Drosophila melanogaster: one gene and its partners. The protein of the gene in region 3 interacts with the protein of the main gene of each other region in a pairwise test. Each region holds a gene or a part of one and is shown on either strand. Other genes may lie near its edges. The genes, in order: Cdk5, Fis1 and Vlet.

Region 1 (3,757 bases), on a different chromosome or scaffold from region 3:
AATTTGAACAATTTTCGGATCTTAACGATACACTCAACATAAAAATTTTTAAGAATAAAACTATTTTACTGAATCAATAAGTATTTTATCGATAAATGTTAATTTGGCAGCTCAAATGGCTATATTAAGTGTCACATTGGTAGGGATTGTCATAAATCAAACCTTTTGCTTTGGTAAATCAAACTAATGAAATTATAAAGAACTTTTTATCTTATACTATAATCGAACTCTACTGCAAGGACATACATATATAATTAAAAGATCTTTGCTGGACAAAGTCTCGCATTTTGGCTTAAGTCTAATCAAAGGTCGTGAAAACAGTGGCTTGGAAAGAACCTTCCGACCTCAATGTCCCGAAGAGCTGCTGTCCGTAAAGTAGGGATGCTGCATCGCCGCCTCCGCGCTAATTCGCTGATTTGGCCGGCAGATGAGCAGCTTTTGCAGCAGGTCGCGTCCCTTGGAGTTTAGCCTAGGTACCAGCTGACTCCACGAGGTGATGGCCGGAAAAGCTATAATATAAATAGGCTTTTAATATTGGTATCGATAAATAAAATCCGTCTAGAATCCCTACATGGAAGCGCCACGTAGTCGGAGAGGTGCGAAACTCCTGGCCAGGAGTCCTCGTTGGGGGTGCCCAGCACACGGAAGATCTTCATCAGCTGATCGAGCACGTCAGAGCCAGGAAACAGCGGTCGTCCAGCGTCCGCCAGTTCGGCCAAAATGCATCCAGCGGACCACATGTCTATGCTGGTCGTATAGAGCTTGGCTCCAAATAGGACATCGGGTGGTCGGTACCACAGGGTCACCACTTCTGCGGAGTAGCACTTCACGGGAATGCCAAAGGCTCTAGCGAGACCAAAGTCAGCTAGCTTTAGCTCGCCGTTTTTGTTGATCAGCAGGTTCTGTGGTTTCAGATCGCGATGCAGGACATTATGGCTAAAATAGGATAATGTAGCGTAAGTTAAGTCTCAATGCTATAAAATGGATATCATTCGGAAATGTGCCACAGATGAAGTTACTCCAAATAACACTTGATTCTAACTATAATCGACACAAGATAAGACCTAATCCAGTGCTGATACATATATAGGTATACCTGTGGCAGAATGCCAGTCCGCGGAGCAGTTGGAGCATAAAGCTCCTGCAGACGGCCATGTCGATCTCCCCGTTGAGGCTGTCAAAGTACTTCTTGAGGTCCTGGTCGCAGTGCTCGAAGACCAGGGTGAGTTTCTTGTCCGAGTGCAGGACGTCTATGAGGCGCACAATGTTCTTGTGCTTCAGCTCCTACGGATGGTAATGTGCCGATTTAGTTTATAAACTGGAATCACTTCCTGCTCGTCCGACTGACCTTCAGCAGGCAGATCTCCCGGAGGGCAGAACTGGGCACACCCTCGTCGTCCTCGTCCAGTCGCACCCGTTTCAGGGCCACTATTTCCATGGTGTCGCGGTTGCGACCCTTGAACACCGTGCCGTAGGTGCCCTCCCCGATCTTCTCCATTTTATCGTACTTCTGCATTTTGCTGTGTTTTGGTGTGTATTATTTTGCGTTCAGATGGAAAACTCCGGGGATTATTGTTTTTGCAGTTTGTTTTTGCTGGCCAGGGATTCGTGCGCCTAACAGCACACTGTTATTCGCTTACAGCACGCGGTGACTAACCAACATCGCAGCTGACAGTCTGCTGTCACCAAAAATACTCAAAATTAACAGATATCATTTTAAAAATGTTGATAAAACTTTTGTTATAATTTTATTGTTTTATTTGGACTCGATATTAGCTAAACATACGAATATAGACCGACAATGATAAACACCGATCTTATGGTACCGCAATGCAACAATATAGCAGAAATATAAGTATACAAGTTTCCTAATTTCTTTTGCCCTTTGCAGAATACCAAGCCTGGCTTACTATGTCTGCCCGATGATGTTCTAATGATAATTCTAAGTTATCTCGACTTGAAGACCCAACTAAAACTGAAAGACTTTCATTTCCGGTTTAAGAAATTAATGCCGTATGTGTGGCGTGCTTATAACAAATGTGCATATATATCCTTGATTGAAATGCAGCTGAGCGACAAGGATTTGCTATTCTTCCTGGAAAGTACTCAACAAATCCTCAGCACTCTGCGGCTCAAAATGAATAATAGATCTAACTTCGAAACACTTACCAGCTGTAGTTTTCCAAAACTTAAAGATTTTCGATTTTCCACGCATTCGTTTAACTTAAACGATGCGGACGTGCCAAGAATGTTGAAAACTTTTCCAAATCTGACAACTTTTAGCCCCCATGGAAAGTTTACTGGCAAACACTTTGATGAATTCGAGTTTCTCGAGAACCTCACGGTCTCCTACTGCAGCAAATTCAATGTCACCAACTTGATACAGATCCTGAAAACCAGAAAAATAAAATCCCTGAAGCTGGGTATCTTCGATATTGACCAGATTTCGAACACAGAACTGCCCTGGAAAGGGATTAGAAACCTAGAGCAGCTGCAGTGCTTCCAGGAGGAAATGATGGTGTGGTTCCTATCGAAACTGGAACGTCTAACTCACTTGAAGAAGCTATTTCTTTGTGGTCACGTTAGATACGGATTTCTGAGAGAGATTCTCATAGCTGCGAAGAGAAGCACTATAAATATGATCGAGATAAGCCAAAATACATCCATATTTTGTGAAACTTACGGTTTAAATGTGGCTATTAAGACCCTAAAGGTGGCTAATTTTGGTATGCATGCGTATCAGCATCTTCACATTAATGTCAATGAATTTTATATACAAAATTCGGTTTGTGTGGACGAAATTAAGTTTCATACCTTAATACAAAACCTAAACACACACGAGGTCCTGGGTATATACCATTGCACCTTCGGATTTAAGGAGTTCACATTCGATGCGAAGAAACTGGGAGAAAACCGTACCACAGCACTTAATATTTATGTGGAACTAAACACGTATCTCATGTCTAATGAGGTCTAAGTATTTCACAACTTATATTAGCTTTCGTTTCTAATATTTTTCATTACAGGATCCCATCCCCATGACCTGGAAAGTGCAAGGGGAACATAGGCTTTTCAAGTTGCACATGAAGCATCCAAAAATCACTTTTAACTCGGATCCAGTTTCAATTTACTTTGATTGAGTTTGATTGCCAAGGAACGAAGCTGTAGACTGATGACTAGTTTGATATGCCAGCTGAGATAGATAACTTTAAATGGCCGAGCCAAATAATTAGTTGTACGTTTTCCCTGGTTATGGAAAAGATTCAACCTTACCGGCGGATTTCAATGAGAAGTTTCCAGGAGTTCTTCAATGCAAGCTCCTCTAGAAGCTGCCAAGGATTGACAGTACTATTAGTTACAAAATAAAGGCTTAGTTTTATTGAGACTGTGTGTCAACTTAATTCAGGAGTACAACTCAAATTCAGTGCGCTCAGCATCCGTCATCGGTTCGACGACTTGAAGGCAGGCATTAGCGAACTCCACGAAGAGTGGCTCCTGCATGGCGGCCATCATGGCCGACTGGGCATTGATGGCCACATCAATCTGCTGGAGCAGCGAACGCAGGTGTGGATTGTGGAGCAAATTACGCAGTTCCTGGCAGTTTTCTGTACGGAAACCATCATACTATGAGAAATGTGTATAATTGCGAATTTAAACACCTACCTAGTTGCTGGAGCTTCTCCGCGGCAACTGTGTCGTCGGTGGGGAAGGGCACATGAAGCGTAGGTTCCTCCTGGTAGCCAACTTCAGTCTTTTT
Region 2 (3,569 bases), on a different chromosome or scaffold from region 3:
ATTTATGGCGAACGGGGCAACCGCCTGGTAGCAGTCTCTTGGTAGCACCCGCTGCAAAAACAACCCCGTGCTGACACAGCGTGTGTGTAAACACGTCGCAACAATTAGTTGCCCTTAACGAATCGACGGCGAACCGTCGTCTTCCGGTCAGGGTCCCGGAATGACATTAAGCTCCGATTAGTCACTTTCAAGTTGGTTAGGAGCCAAGCAGCTGCCTGCCATCCGCAACTCTCGCTCTTATTGTTGGTCCCCATATCTGTATTTGTCGCACAACTTTGTTGTGATTACGGCGATAAAGCGGCTCAAGTAAATCACAATAATACGACGGTCTAGTCTGGCCGACTCGGTTCGAAAGAAAGTGTGAATAGAGCCGGGCTCAACAATCAACAACAATAGATTCGCCGGACCGGACCATCAATGACAAATGTCTCTAGGATTATGAGTGGGCATGTGCATAAAAGTCAAAAGCAATAGAAATAAAAATTGTGTTCACGTCATGGGACATGTCAACAAAAACTGCCGAGAAGCAATTGCGCGACACTTTCTTGGGTGTAAATTAAGATACTTTATACTGGCCCTTGGTGAGGACCAAGCTGGTGGCCAGCTTGGGTTTTTGTGTATCACTCGATTGTATTTTGCTCTTTGCATGCGTCAGCTATATATTGAACCGCTAGCATATTCATTGATTTTCGAACAGTAATTCTGCAATATCATTGCCTGTTCAACTTCGTGGGACTAGCACAACCCATCTCTTGCCTCCCCGCACCGTCCCGCGAAGAAATGCCGTCACGTACGCGAGCCCCATCGTTCAACAAATAAAGAATGAACCGGATCCTCATCGTAATTATACTGATGCGTTAGCAAAATTGCTGTCAAATTATAGGAGGCCAGCTCTAAAATCGAGCGATCTTTTGAAGGTAGGTAGGAAATACGAAATTCAGTGGCCATTAAAGTTAATGATGGGTATTTATTTTCAAAAAAGCTTTTCATTCTAAACTCTTTTAGGGGTATATTAATAAGAGATTCCGACCAGCAGTGTCTTCATTGCATTTATCTTCATATTTTATAAAGCGCACATCGAGAACATGATAAATATTATTTCATAACAACTATTTTTATAAACAAACTTTTTTAAGAAACTCTGAATTGATGGAACCGAGATACATAAAAAACGGACTTACACCTTATCTATTCACAAAATACAGGAATTTGAATACTAAATTACACACATTACTCGAAGAGTAAAATGTTAAAGTAGATTCGTTGAAAAGTCTGGATCAGGTTCAATTGAAATGAATTAAAAAGAAATCAACAATTCGTTGTTATACCCGTTAAATGAATAAAACAGGTAACACAAAACTTTTCCTAACACTTTATTGAGGATCAATAACCGAGTCGGTATTGAGGAGCCAAAGAAGTTAACATTTTTTTGTAAATGCATTTTTCTCTGATCACAATTAATAATTATAACATCAAAAATTTTATAAAATCAAACTAAAGTAGTTAAAATCAAATACTTCCGTGAATTCGCTAAAATTTTTGAAACTCCAAAGCTGAATTTTATTTGGCTTAATTAAGAACACATGCTATTAACGGAGTACCCCTTATTAAATAGTCTCAGTGGCAATCGAATATAAGAAGGAACACTAAAAATGTGAAGGAAGTCGTTCTCTGAGAATTGTATATAAACGGTACGACTAATCCTATATTTTTAGAATGAACGGCTACTCTTGGCGTTAAATTCTCTGTATATAATTTTTGTATTTGCTAACAACATTTGCCAAACAATGGAGGATCTTTTAAACGAAGTTGTACCACAAGAAGATTTAGAAGTAAAAAATATTATTTTAGTTCTGATTGTTATAAAATAAATATTTTGCATTTGCTCCAGAGATTCGAAAAAAAGTATCATCACGAACTTGAGTTGGATGGTGAAGTTACCACAGACACAAAGTTTGAGTACGCATTCCTAAATCTAAAAACATTAAAATATCTCAATTCTTCTCAATTCTAATGACACAATAGGTACGCATTCTGTCTGGTCCGAAGTCGGTACACAAATGACGTTAGAAAGGTGACTCACTTTTAAAGCTGTAAAGATGTAAAAATATTATTTTATTTATAATCCAGGGAATTATGATTTTGGAGGAACTGGCTCGTACGCATCCAGATGGAAGGCGTGACTATATATATTATCTTGCGTTTGGTAATGCTCGTATCAAGGAGTATACGTCTGGCTTAAAATACTGCCGAGCTTTTCTTGACATCGAGTCAAATGATCAAGTTCGCTCCCTAGAGGTTAGTAAGGTCACTAAGGAAAGCAGCAATTTCTATATAATCTCCAATAGATTCAAATAATTTTTTGATCCAGAAAATTTTTATGACAACCAAAATCCCATGATCACAAAAGATGTGTCGTGTTAAATGTACATATATAATAATGAAAAACATATTCATGTGATCCTCACTAATGTACATACACTAAAATTCAATGTACGAATAATTACTAAATAACTTTACATATTTCAGGAATATATTAAAAAAGAAATCGATAAGGAAGTGGCAAAGGGTATGGTGGTTGCAGGCGGAGCAGCTTTAGTACTTGGCGGAATATTAGGACTTGGCATTGCTATGGCTAGAAAGTAATATTTTATACCAACACGTTTTTAACCGACAATGTTCTTTTAAAAACAAGCAGTTGAAAATTAAATATTTATGATTTAAATTAAATCTACATTGACTTAATTATTAATGCTATGTGTACATTGTTTATTTTTTAGTAAACAAAAACGGGAGAAATAGTAACGTCACCACTATTTAAGGAAAATAAAACATCGAAAGGTGCACATCAAGATGTTATGAAGTTTAATACTTGAAATATGTTAATTTACTACATCAACATTCTAATTAATCTTTATGTACGGTTAAATCAATAAATTATCCAATTGTTGCTTGTAGATCGTGTGTGTTAATTACATATGTTAAGGTATAGTGCTATGCCGACTCCGCTGAATTAAACTCCAACAATGCTTAAATCATCGGACTTCTGTTGTTTTTAGTCCATACAAAGAAGAACTTCGAAGGCGTAGTCTACCGAATCATCGCCCCGGCTGGGTGCAAAATAATATGATCTCCCTGGGTCCAGAAGACTGACCTCCAGTAATCCAAACTACTCTCTACTCCTTTCTAGTGAAATTGTATTTCGGATATTTTTTTTTAGACTCAGGATAGGTAGGATTAGCTAAGTGTTCCCATCTAAAATAACTATTTCTTCATGTCGCATATTTTTGTGAGTACGTACGGCTTTATCAAAATCGTAACACAAGGAACAGCAGATAGCCTTGAATAAAGGTTATGGGTGGAGCGCAGTTTTATACTGAATTTAATTCGGAGACTAGCTATATTTCAATAGTGGTAATACTTTGGACGTTGATAGGGGATATCAAGAAAGCACGCATTTCAATCCGGCTCTATCTCGTCAGCGAGTGTCGTGGTGTTCTTTTGAGGTTACAGCATTTGGGTGCTCATTCATATCTATGTGAATTTAAATGATAGCTATGGAAAATGAT
Region 3 (3,757 bases):
TGCCCGGTGCCCAAGCTCCTCTACGAAGCAAAGAGGCGGGCATAGCCGACCCAAAAGATTGGCCAACCATGCAAATTATATCCAATTCAAGAAACTATCTCAAGATTCTCAGTTTACTCGACCAGTTTTCGAGATGAACCAATAAGTGAGGGTATAAATATATTCTAATAGACAAAAGTACTGTTTTTTCAATATATGTATATTACATGAGAAGGGGAGTAAATACTTTAATATACATTTAACAAAAAATAAGCTACGATAAACACAAGCTGAAAATGAAATATTTGTCATTGCAGCAATTATTTTCTGCTTATGTAGAAATTTTAATAACAAAGTCTAGATAAAAAATTGAATCATTTTTATAAAATCGCAGCCTGTAGAAATCTAAGTTAATAAATAATAATAATAGTTATGACTGTAAAACTCGCAGCTGTTAGCAGAAATTCTATTTCAACAAGTGTATGGTTCTATAATATATTTATAATTTAACATTTATCTTGGAAAATAAATAAGATGAATATCTTTTGAGTAGATAAAAGGTGATTTCGAATTCGTGGTGGCGATGGCATTTAGAGTTTTATTTTTCTTAATTGGATTAACTGCTGTTTTTACAGCCCGACAGCAAAACAAAACGTAAAACAAAGGTAAGAAGCGAAGAAACCCCAATATTTTTCCAGCATAAATATGCTAAACTGCCATAATGAGCGGAAAATGCGATAAAACCGAATATAGAGAGGAAAATAACGGAAAAGAAAAGCGGGGAAACTGAAACCAAACGATTCTTTTTATTGTTTGGCTAAAATTGATTGCATGGCTAGATTATTGCTGTTGGAATTGGAATTGTTTCTGTTTTTGCAGCTTTGCCTTTTGCATGCCGCGATAAAAAGTATTATTTTTAATTTCCCGTATCAGGCGTATGCATGTGTCTGTGTGTGTGTGTGTGTATGCATCACACGACTCCGCCGGAGAGAGTGTGAGTGTGTGCAAGGGTGGCTGAAAAGGGGAGAGCGATAAAAAGGGGCTGCAAAATGCAGACGAAGCATAAAATAAACAACCGACGACGCGCTATCGATTTTTACGGCATGCTGGAAGCACCAGCACACTGATACACACAGTTTGCAGAATAGGGAAATAAACTGGAAGTTATGCTATGCCAAATTGAGTTTTTTCAACAAAAATTCCTCGCAGAGAAACGCGAAACGAACTAGTGGAAGACTAAAGAGCCGGGTTTTGTTTATTTACACAGGAACAATACAATCGCACGCAGCCAAAGACACACATACGTATACCACATACACATGCATATATCCCGACGCACTGTTCCGTTAGTTTAGTTGGGGTTTTTGTTTTTCTCGGGCTTTCGCTGAAACCTTAGCTTGAAATCCTTACTTTTAAGATGCTGACTATTTTTTATAATCGGTGGTTGGTTTTGCTTCCAATTTTCCGATCCCGAGTTCCGTTTATCATCCGCTCCGCTGCGCCTGTTTACCCCGCTTTTACACTTTTCCGTTTCGCTGTAGCTCAACGAACTCGTCGCTCTCCTTGCTCCGCGCACTTGTCAAGCTTTCCCGACTGCAACTGCACTCGAACTCGGGGCGTGGGTGCACTCGCTGCGCCTTAAAAGTGCATCTTTCGCAGCCGAATCAGCGGAAAAATCTGCATTAAGTTAAGCCGCGTTTCCAATACACAAATACTGCTTATCGATTGTTGGCGCTATCGAGCGGAGCATCGATAGGCATCAGCGGAGTTGCCAGGTAGGACGATTATATTAATGAGTTGGAAAACTATTCGTACTTGATAATCTTCTACAAATTGAATCGTCGATCGTCGGTGCCGTCGACAATCTGGTATTGATATTTGCTGGTGCGGCTTTTTTTCACGAATTTTATTTTGCAGGAAACATAACAGCAAATATTATTTAAAACATTGTAATTTTATAAGGTAAATTATTCAGGCCTAAATACAGAAAAATAAATTAATTTAATAAAACATTTAAATCTAAAAAATTAATAAAGAATATGTTTAAAATCACATCGCAAAATGTAATATTTTTGTATTTTAGTCAGCACTTACCGTTATTATTGGCAGTAGTAACTGTGTGGCAGCACCGCACCGTGGCAAGTCGATAGTTTTTTGTATATTGTTGGTCTGTATAAACAAATAATATTAAAGTCATAATAAAAGAAGTGCTGGTAAAGACTTAATAACTCTATGTTCCTTAAAAATTTTTAAATATATCTCACAATGAGCATTAACTGGATAAAGATCACGGAAAGGTATGTAATATCAATGTTCTTATAGAGATTAATTTCTTGCATTTATATCTTAGAGCCCGTGAGGGCATCAAAATCATCAATGCCTTGCCCTACGAGACCTTTACGACGGTTCTGTTCTACACCCACCGGCAGATGAGTCCCAGCGTAGCATCGGCGAGTGCCACCAGTAGTACAGTGGGCACCAGTGTGACGACCACCGGCCGGGTGGACAGCAGCACCGAGGAGAACCCCACAAGTAACACCGAACCGGAGTACACACTCGAGGAACTGGAGCGATTGGTGGGCGTACCGCGTCAGGACTTCCTGCTGCTGATCAAGACCTTCTCCTACATCCTGCGTCGCATCTCCACGTTTATCATCAAGCCAAGTTTGCTGCAGCGTGAGCTGCGCGAGAAACTCCAGCTGGAGGATGAGGCCAAGATCGATGCCATATTGCGTTTGTGGGTGCGCGAAACGACGCCCATTATGAACAATTTGGCCAGCAAGCGGTACGAATCAAATGTCATCGAAGATGTGGCCTGGAAGCTCAACATGGAGATCTCCTCGCATTGCCAGCAGCGGGAGAAGACCCCGCTGGCCGTGCTCCAAATGAAAACGGCCGTCGGCGAGGATATCAACATCGAAATGACACAACCGGAACTAATGGAACTGTACAATCAGTTCGAGAGCATCCAGGGCGAACTGGACGCCATGCTGGCCATGAAGACTACAGGAGCAACGGCGCCTGGCAATCAGTAGTGGGACGCCATCGACCAATTCCAGTGCCAATTTTATTGTTGATTCACACAAAACTCTGTGCAAAAAGATGGACCTAAAAGTATGCAATACTAACACGATCGTAGCCAAATGTTAAACACGTTTTTTTTTGTTTAATTCAGTAGGGTTTTTCCTATGTTCTGGCTAATTTTCCGAACGTAGCCAAATTTTTACTAGAGTAAGAGTTCGGCTTTGATTTATAAAACGTTGCAATGATTAGGATCTTCCAAACAGGACTAGTTTTTAAGTTTTAGAACTTACCCTCTGCAAAATAATAAATCCTTTAATAAATTTAGATAAAACAATGTGTGGCACATTTTACAGTACACTTTAATGGATCTCTGCATGCGTTTTACTCGTCTGCTCCACCTCGGATCATAATTCTACTGATAAACATTACAAATTATTACAATGATATATATTTAATATATGTCTATATTGTATATGCATATGTTATTCATCGGCCTTAGTATGCGTGTGTGTGTGTATAATGGAGTCGTATATTATGTATGCATTATACAGACTTTCTAGTTTCATCTTCTCAAACTTTTGCATAATTATGCATATGTATTTATTGTTATTACGGGAGGGCGGGGATTTTGGGTTGCTTCGTATTCAAATTAGGGGCTTCGTTGTATTTTTCACTAATCTAGAAGCAAAACGATTTCTATTGCACTCTTTCACAGTTCGGTTAATCATTTCAACTAAGTTTGGACAAAATACAA

What was found.
Region 1: the proteins of Vlet (region 3) and Cdk5 interact in a two-hybrid assay, tested with the Drosophila melanogaster proteins (one large-scale study listed by BioGRID).
Region 2: the proteins of Vlet (region 3) and Fis1 interact in a two-hybrid assay, tested with the Drosophila melanogaster proteins (one large-scale study listed by BioGRID).

The regions. Positions count from the first base shown.
Region 1 is NT_033778.4:15,569,787-15,573,543, forward strand, and holds the start of Cdk5 (Cyclin-dependent kinase 5), read right to left. Parts: upstream 1,632-3,757; 5' UTR 1,517-1,631; coding exon 1,349-1,516; intron 1,285-1,348; coding exon 1,097-1,284; intron 937-1,096; coding exon 572-936; intron 510-571; coding exon 346-509; 3' UTR 1-345. Other genes in the region: CG30466 (uncharacterized protein), read left to right, coding at 1,892-2,971, 3,027-3,140; CG8204 (uncharacterized protein), read right to left, coding at 3,403-3,605, 3,664-3,757. UniProt on the Drosophila melanogaster protein: Probably involved in the control of the cell cycle. Interacts with D1 and D3-type G1 cyclins. Possible regulator of neuronal differentiation and/or development.
Region 2 is NT_033778.4:5,602,973-5,606,541, reverse strand, and holds Fis1 (Fission, mitochondrial 1), read left to right. Parts: upstream 1-1,707; 5' UTR 1,708-1,787; coding exon 1,788-1,832; exon of another isoform or gene 1,833-1,891; coding exon 1,892-1,959; exon of another isoform or gene 1,960-2,025; coding exon 2,026-2,074; intron 2,075-2,130; coding exon 2,131-2,298; intron 2,299-2,529; coding exon 2,530-2,642; coding exon of another isoform or gene 2,643-2,646; exon of another isoform or gene 2,647-2,747; intron 2,748-2,780; coding exon 2,781-2,802; 3' UTR 2,803-2,955; downstream 2,956-3,569. UniProt on the Drosophila melanogaster protein: Involved in the fragmentation of the mitochondrial network and its perinuclear clustering. Functions downstream of Pink1 and upstream of Drp1 to regulate mitochondrial fission.
Region 3 is NC_004354.4:11,676,922-11,680,678, reverse strand, and holds Vlet (valette), read left to right. Parts: upstream 1-2,127; 5' UTR 2,128-2,244; coding exon 2,245-2,276; exon of another isoform or gene 2,277-2,329; coding exon 2,330-3,014; 3' UTR 3,015-3,335; downstream 3,336-3,757. UniProt on the Drosophila melanogaster protein: Scaffold protein in the commander complex that is essential for endosomal recycling of transmembrane cargos; the commander complex is composed of the CCC subcomplex and the retriever subcomplex.